Sus scrofa: one gene and its partner. The protein of the gene in region 2 purifies or fractionates together with the protein of the main gene of each other region. This does not show direct contact. Links are inferred from orthologs where the notes say so. Each region holds a gene or a part of one and is shown on either strand. Other genes may lie near its edges. The genes, in order: FBXW11 and ZNF395.

What was found.
Region 1: the proteins of ZNF395 (region 2) and FBXW11 purify together in Homo sapiens (affinity purification with mass spectrometry; 5 studies listed by BioGRID and IntAct, with this or other methods). This does not show direct contact. The link is inferred for Sus scrofa from reciprocal best matches to the Homo sapiens genes ZNF395 and FBXW11.

What each region holds. Positions count from the first base shown.
Region 1 is NC_010458.4:52,210,934-52,215,301, forward strand, and holds the start of FBXW11 (F-box/WD repeat-containing protein 11), read left to right. Parts: upstream 1-1,467; 5' UTR 1,468-1,872; coding exon 1,873-1,917; intron 1,918-4,368.
Region 2 is NC_010456.5:12,181,132-12,185,442, forward strand, and holds the start of ZNF395 (zinc finger protein 395), read right to left. Parts: upstream 2,897-4,311; 5' UTR 2,870-2,896; intron 2,600-2,869; exon of another isoform or gene 2,397-2,599; intron 1-2,396.

The DNA of each region.
Region 1 (4,368 bases), on a different chromosome or scaffold from region 2:
AGCCTAGAGAGGCAAAGGGGTCTGGTGAAATTCAGACACCATGTTAGGAATAATAGCTTTTTAATTCTGTGTTCTTCCTATTGCTTTTCTTTCAATTCCCTAAGTAGAAAGCATCGGATAAGGGCCATTAAACTTAAAACTGTATTGAACAGAACTTACACTGTGTCCTGCATGCATACAAATTACTGTAGCAATTCGGTGCTTGGAAATGGAAAGACTTAGAGGTCATCTAGTCCCTTCCCTTTACAGGTGCAGAAAATGCAAAACACTTGAGAAAGAGAACAGTAGCCTTTGACATTTGGCAGCTGGCCTGATACAATCAAACAGGCAGTAATGTTACTAGATGATAGCCTGGTCCTCTTAGCTAGGCCTCGTGTTTTCTTGTTGAACCTAATTTCATAGAACATAAATGTTAGACAAAGCCATTCTATGGCCATGATAGACCAATACAAAAGCGAAACCACTCCTAATTAAATCTGAACACAGATCAAACAGGGACATTGTTCAAACCACAAAAAATGACCAAATAGCCCTTATTCTGGTAATGAGGGACTCCTGCTTCTCTACCAATCAGGACTTCAGCCTCGTCTAGTAGTCCTTCCGTCTAGATAACATTTACTGAGATGCCCAATCATAAAATTACCTCCACTTTCTGACAGCATCTTATCCAGGGTAAAGTCCCACTTTCTTAAACCCTCATCCAAATCACCTGACAACTCCTCCTGAGATGCCCCACAGTTCTTCATGGTGTGTGTTCTCTCTCTCTGCAACCAGCAATAAACCCAACCTGTTAATTCTCAGCGGGCCTTTGTCGTCTTTGGTTTGAGGTTACTGACAGACCTGATAAGGTTTATACCGAGCTGGAGGCAGAATTCACTGGGCATCTCCAGCTGTGTTCCTTCTTATGGTTAATGTCTGTCTTCCCCCTACCAGAATTACGCTGCGTGAGAAGAGAAGCCTTGTCTGTAGGGATCAGAGCTGATTCCCAGGGCCTAGGCTAGTGACGAGCAGAGGCTGGAAGTTTAAAAGATACTTTCTAAACGAATGAATAATAGGTTCTCTTTCACCTCTCAGTTCCTCCCAGTACGTGGTGCACAGAGACCACAAAACTCCTCTTTCTCAACTAAATTTCCAAACCCCTCTTGGGACGCCACTCTTGGGACGCCCATGCTCTCAGAGCCTCCTTCTCTGCCCGAGCTCTCTCGCTCGCTGGCCCCCCTCCGACACTTGAGCCCCAAGACCATCCCTTCCTAGAACCCACCTGTCGCCAACACCTCACCCTGCCACAGAGGCCAGACCAACCGTGCCGTTACTTAGGTGTCGAGCGGGCACTGCAGGCACAGACCGCGCATGTGCGGAAATCGGTCGCGCACGCAGGATCGCTGGCAAGTGAAGAGTTGCCTTGGAGTTTCCGTCCGGGTCCGGGGAGCCTCGGGCTGCCAGGAAGTCAGAAGAAACTAGCCGGAAAGAGAACCCGCGCGCAGGGCTTTCTGGGATATGTAGTAGGCGCGCACCTGAAGCCCCACCTTGAGGAAGCCCGTAATTCTTTAGGTCTGCACGTCTCTCATTCGCAGTCCCGTGCTACTTTCGGCTGAGAATTCAGCTTCGGACGGCTAGGAGAGATTGGTCTGGCGGGGTCTTCTCGTTCCCACAACGCTCTGCGGGACCCGCGGCGCCTGCCGGGAGCTGTAGTCCTCGCTCTGCGTACTGCGTTCGCCGAGGGGGAGGGCGGAGCTGCCGGCGGCCCGGGCGGGCTGGCAGCTAGAGTGGGTGCGATAGCCGCCTCCGCCTCTGCCGCCTCCGCCGTCGCCTCCTCCGCCCGGGCCGTTCGCTGCTGCGCGGGGAGAGCGAGGCGGGGCCGCCAGGGCCGCCATGGAGCCCGACTCGGTGATTGAGGACAAGACCATCGAGCTCATGGTGAGTGCGGCCCGCTGGACCGTCCGTTCTTCCGTCCGTCCGGCCCCGGGCGGGCCTGCCCATCTCAACGTCCGGCGCGAGGCCGGCCCTGGCCCTTCCCCGCTGCCTCGGCCCGAACCTGGGCCCTCCGGCCCGGCGCGCTTTACTCCGGATCCCTCGAGATCTCAGGCCGGACCTGGTCCGGCCCCCTCCATGCCCCTCGGTTTTCCTCCCTCCCTCCCTTCTCTCCTGTCTCTGGGCCCATCCCTGGAACGACCCTCGCTCGCTTGTGCTGTGGCCTTAGCTCACACTCGCTCAAGCATCTCCTTCCTCCCTTAGAAGGGGTTTTCTGTTTTTTCTTTTTCTAATTCTCCGGCCAGGCCTGCATCGCTCTTGCAAGCCCCACTCAGGCCGAGTGAGATGGTGATGGGAGGGGGTACAGAGAAGATCGACCTGGGGTCTCGGCCTCTGCGTCCTAGAAGGGGTCTCTCAGCACCCTCTTCTCAAGCCAGGGCTGTGTGGATGCCGGCATAGGCCCTACAGGGGTGGAGGTGGGGAGCTCTCGGGTTTGAGGCTGTGACCGATAAGGGGCCTCTTTCCTGGGCCCCTGTGGTGTCCGGCTTCTCGGACAAAGGGTTTCCTACCCGGCCGAGAGGGATGTTTGGATAGCGAGGCCCCAGGTACTCTGGATTCCATCTCCCAGGAAAGAGACACTGTAACTTCACGTTTTCCAGAGCCGCTCTGGGAAATTGGGGAGGGGGAAGAGGGCTTGTCCTCATCTGCGCCGCCAGTTCTTTCTTCTAGAAAAGGAGTAGGAGAGAATCCTAGGCCCCTGGGAAATCGATCACTCTTCTGTTAGAAACCTTTGGTACCCAGGCCAGACCCTCTGGCCCCACGAATCCCAACCCCCCCTCCGCCTTGGGACTTGGAGCCTAAGGTTTTTAGAAACAGGGCCACGAGAGAGTGGCTAGTAGAAACGAAGAACTTGCTCTTTGGTGGATGACTTGGTGGAAGAAATAAAATATGATAGCTATTACCTGCCAATTGGAATACTAGGGAAATCAAACTGGGCTCTGGAGAGCTGGGAGGGGAAGCTCTTTGCCTCAGCAAATGGACAGGCCCAGGCTTTCTTCCTGTGGAAATCTTGACAGTTTCTTTGTATCTCTTCTAATACAGTAACAACTTCTACTCTAAGGTTGAGAGGAAAGGTGAAAGAATCTACTTAACACAGCAAAACGTTTTCCTAGCCAGATTTTCTCCAGTGTGAAAATGTTTATTGAGTCAGTGATTCCACTGGGTAGGGTCGGTGACATCAGAGCCACTTCCCCCATTTAATGCTATAAATAATAAATGGTGACATTGAAAGTCTGTTGGATAGCTGCATGGTGTCTGTGGATGATGGTATCTGGGGAGTTGAGGTGCATGTTTTAAAAATGGAAGTACAGTAGCATAAATATGGAGGCAGCTTAATATTTGCTGTCCTTTGCATAATTCACTAGACTTCTTCAGCAGTCTTGAAAACTAGAGGGGAAAAAAAGCTCTGGTAGTTTCTGGGGTGTGTGTGTGCGTGCGCGCACTGGTGTGGTTGCTTTCTAAGGGATACTGTCACCATAAGTTTGATTTTCATTTATTAAGTAATTTATTAAGTAATTTTTCCTTTCAGTAAAGTTTATCAAACTTTTGTAATCAAGCCTTTGATAATCTGCAAATTTTGTAAGGGGTTATTTTAGTAAAATATCTTAACTGGAATTGCATATATAGTATATATGCTTACATGTATGTGTAATACATGTATTTACAACAGGAGTGCTTCATATCGAAAATTGTAACTTGGGGGGAGTTCTCGTCGTGGCGCAGTGGTTAACGAATCCGACTAGGAACCATGAGGTTGCGGGTTCGATCCCTGCCCTTGCTCAGTGGATTAAGGATCCGGCGTTGCCGTGAGCTGTGGTGTAGGTCGCAGACACGGCTCGGATCCAGCATTGCTGTGGCTCTGGCGTAGGCTGGCAGCTACAGCTCCAATTAGACCCCTAGCCTGGGAATCTCCCATATGCCGCGGGAGCGGCCCAAGAAATGGCAAAAAGACAAAAAAAAAAAAAAAAGAAAAAGAAAATTGTAACTTGGTACCTCTTTGAAAGTGTTCAGTGCTCCTTCCATTTACATGCCATTAAAACAATAACTAAAATGTCTTTATTTTGAAGAGAATTAGAAATGAATACAGTGTAATCCATTTAGTGTTTTGAGTGGATGTAGAAAAAAAAAAATCTCTGACCTAAATATACTGGTTTCCTATGCTTATAAATTGAAAAAGTTTTGATTTTACATAATTGTGTCTGTGATCTGAAAAGATATTTCAGCTCTTTCAAGGGCTTTACAAACTGGGATTCTTAAGATAGTTTAACAAAAAAATTTAACAGCTATCTAGATCAATTTTAAAATGCCTTTTCATATATGGATTTTGATACTCCCTCA
Region 2 (4,311 bases):
GTGTTTAGTCAATTCCATCCTACTTCCCTCCAATCTCCAATCCCACCCACCTGATAAGAAGAAGTGTCCCATCCTCCTTGGAGGCTCAACTCCCTTGAGTTGCTCTGTTAACTTCAGGTTCAGGACCAAGTGATGTCATGTGAATGGCAAGACCAAACAGAACCTTCCAACTCAGACCCTCAGCCCCGCTCACTAGCATCCTGCCTGACTCCCTATGACTGATGCCTTCCCTCCCCCGCAACAGCAGCCTCTCCCACCTTACACACCTGGTTTCCCACCAATCTCAGTGTTGTGGCTGCTTGCAGGACACCTCTGTTTGAATGTCTTGGCAAACGCAAGAAACTTCTCTGCAGCCTGAGTGTCAATTACTTCTCTCCAAAACACACATTTCCGATTTCTCGAGTTACTAACTACAGCAGCTCCAAGGCCCTGGCGTGTAATCAATTTCCACCAAGAATTAATTTCCATTCATCTCCTTCCTTCATCCTGCCCCTGACAACAGATTATTTCAACAGTCATGCTTCTAAAACCCACCCATTTTTCCATTTCCAGTTATCCCAGTGCAAGGCCTGGGTACTCCACAACTAAAACAGCCTACTAACTGATTTGTCACCTAACACTGCTTTTAAAAACCTTTCATTACATCACTACTCTCTGGCTCAAAAACCTTTGCTATCTCCCTAGTATACACAGGGTACAGTGCGATTCCCGTCTGGCTGTCTAGGATATTCACAACCTCAACCATTGTTCCTCTCCATTTTTATCTCCTACTGTGCAGGAAACATCCCCTTGTCTCTCAGGAAAGTCATGTTCATTTGCACCTCATGGCCCATCTCAAGGGTCTCATCTGCTGGGAACACAATCCTGGTGATTACTACTCATAGTGCCCTTTTCTGAATTCCAATAGCACCTAGTCTACACCTTGCAGTTTGACAGTTAATTGTGCCCCATCTTGAGGTCCTACTTCCCAAGTCTTTCTGTCTCCTCCCTGAGATTATACACCCTGGAGGGAATCATCTCATGTATCTTTCTCATCCTCCCTGAGATAACTGTCTGAACCTCTTCTCCTCCCCTAATCCCTCTGTAACCTTTCACACCTGTTACTTCTCCCTCCCTTGCCTTTGACCTTTGCTACAGAGCTATTCTCCATGTGCATAACGTTTCATAACTTAGTACTCTTAAATCCATTCTGCAACTCTAATCTTCATCAAGGCAGCCAGAGCACATTAATTTGAACTTGAGCTCTCAAATCACTTTCACCTGGTCAGTAGGCTTACTGAGGCCTTAGATTTCTTGAGTGCCTCTTATTATCTCGCAAAGAGCCTGGCATGATGCTGAGAACACAGAAGCCCCTCAAAAGGATCTGTGGAACTGAACTTCATTGCTATGTTTCCTGGTGTTTCAAGTTCCTTCAGACCCGGAACCTCGGTTTACACAACACCTTAGGAGGGTGTCAAAAAGGCCTTCAATACCTGTTGATCACTCGCTTTCAGGGAAAATGCACCAAATACACTTTTCTAGAAAACAGGGTGTAAAGAACTGACTGGTGTCCTATAGGTAACCGCTGCACCTGGCCGCCTGGCATCAGGAGAACTCCTGCCTGGGGGAAGCGCTCTAAAATCACTGGGCACTGGCCAAGGCTGCCTGAAATAAAGGGGGCAGCAGCACCCCCCTCGCCGCCTGACAGATGGGCTTCTCTGGATTTCTGAGCCCATCCTAAAGTGAAAGCGCTGAGCCCTGAACTCCCAGGCAAGGAAGAAAATACTGCCTTTGAAATTGTTTGCACATGACAAACTCCCCGTTCGGGCCCCCACCCGGGCACCCCACATGCCCGCAGTGCCAGCGCCGAGGAAGGCCAGGGCCTCCGGAGAAGAGAGGCAGGGTGAAGGCGCGCAGAAGTGTGGAGGGTGGGGAGACGGGAACCGGAGGGTGGGGGCCAGCCCCCCGAGGTGGAGGGTGTGTCGCGCCGCGCGTCCCGGCGCCCGGCACTTGCCCGCCGGGCCGCTCCGAGGAGCGGGCAGGAACGCGCGGGGCGCCGAAAGGACTGGGCCAGCGGCCCGGCCGGAAAGGGTCAGGGAGGGGGCAGGTCACCCTCCGGCAGAGAGGCGACTCCGGACCGGCGCTCAAAGTTGGGGAGGGGATCACTAGGCGAGCGCCGGCAGCCGGCGAAATAAACAAGGCGGCGCATGGGAGGGAGAGGGGGAGGCCACCCCCACCCGGCCGGCGCGGCCGCTGCCGCAGCGCCCCCGCGACCCGACCCGCCGCTGCCCCGGCGGCGCCCGCCTCCCGTGCCCTCCAGCTGCCGGCCCGGCTCCCGAGGGCGTGTGGAGCGTGGGAAGTTCCCGGGCCGCCCTCGTCCCTGGGCTGCAGCGCCGCGAGGTCCCCGTGCAGCTTACCTCGCCCCGCTACAAGCGGCGGCGCGGGCCGGGCAGCTACCGCTCGGACGGCTCGGCTCGGCAACCCGCTGCGGCTGCCGCGGCGCCCGCCCACCCGGCGCGGCCCACCGCCCGGCTCGGCTACGGCCGCTCGCCCGCCGAGGCTCCGTTCGCGCCCACCTGGTCGGCCTGCCCTCCCTCTCCGGGACACTGCGCTCACGTACGCGGCCGCGGCCACAACCCGGCCCGGATTCCCGCCCGGGAAGGGAGCGGAGGCGCGCGCCAGCCAGCGAGCACCCGGGCGAGGCTGGGGACACACCCCCTCGCCGCCCTCCACCGCCCCCCCCGCACCGCCCTTCCCCCGCGCCCCCCGCCCCCGCCCCCGGAGCCGCGCGCGCCCGCGGCCTGCGCGCCCCTCGGCGGTCCCGCGCGCCCGAGCCCCCACCCCCACCCCGCCCCCAACGCACACCCCACTGCGCGCCCGGCATACACACCCCCGCCCGCTAGTAAACAGTGGGCGCTCAATAAGTGCCCGAGCGACTCCTGGCGCACATGCGCACTTGAACCTGACCCAGTGGTGACGCCCCCACCCCACCCCCAAATCGGACCCGGCGGCTGCAGCCCCGAAACAAACTTGGGGGTTTGCCTGTTTCCACTGAACCGCCAACCGAGTCAAAGTTTCTTGCTGTTGTTTTTTCCAGGCCGGGCTCTGGGATACGCTTCTCCGAGAAAGGCCGAGCTCGCCCCAGGGCGGGAAAGGCCGCCCGAAGGCTCCGGGCGCCGCAGACTGGCGCTGCGCGGGGGCGGTCGAGACCCGGGCCGCGCAGCACCGACCCGCGGGGCGCGGCGAAAGGCGAGAGGGAGAGAGCCATGGAACCAACCTTTCCATTTGCCTTTGCTTTAATGCTTTCTTCTCCATTTTATGACATTTTACTCGGTCCCTCTCGTTTGTAGTTGTAAAGTGAGACGTTATTTACTGTTTCTTGAATTAACATGAGAGAAAGTTAACTATTAGCTTTCAGCCCTTAGGTAAACAATACCAGTTGCTTTTGGCACTGTTAGGCTCTGGCTTTGTGTAATTTGTAACAAGAATTGAAGCTGTTCCACTGTATCGCACTTTGTTTTTCAGAGATAAGACCAGAGCTACAACGGTGGTAAGGAGACCCAGTGCCTGTGAGTGTGAGCATGTAGATTCATATTCAAATAAATTTAATGGATATAAGAAATAAATCCCTCCCCCCCCAAAAAAAAAGTTTTTAAATACTTTTGGACACACTTGTTGCATTTGTGGTCTGTTCACCTTCGACTTGAGGTATGCTGTCTTTCTTGCAGGGAGGCATGGGGTGTGTGCAGGAAAGGACTGATGGCTTTGCAGTCAAACAAGCCTGGTTTGTCTCCTGATTTTACTACTGAACTAGTTTATGATCTTCAGCAGGTTATTTTCTCTTTCTGAACCTCAGATTTATCTGTAAGATGAAATTAAAAACATAGGTATAGTGCCTAGCTCAAACCAAATAAGCACTAAATAGTATTTCCCTCCCACCACCACCATTTGTTACATAAGAAAAACAGCTACACAGAACCAAAATTCCTGTAGGAATTTTACCCCCCAGGAGACATTTGGCAATGTCTGGAGACATTTTTGATTGTCACAACTGGGAGTGGTGTTGCTCCTAACATCTAATAGGAATAGGCCAATGATGCTGCTAGAAAAATGTCCTGCAATGCACAGAACAGCCCCACACAACAAAGAATTACCTGGTATCATTTGAGTAATAAAAAATTTAAAAATAATAAAATAAAATAAAAAAGCAAAGAATTACCTGGTCTGAATTGTCCATAGTGGTACTGTTAAGAAATCCTGCTATAGGATAATTCCGCCCTGGAATAATTCATTAAAGACTGGCCCTACCTTTTAATTCTCATCTACAAGGAA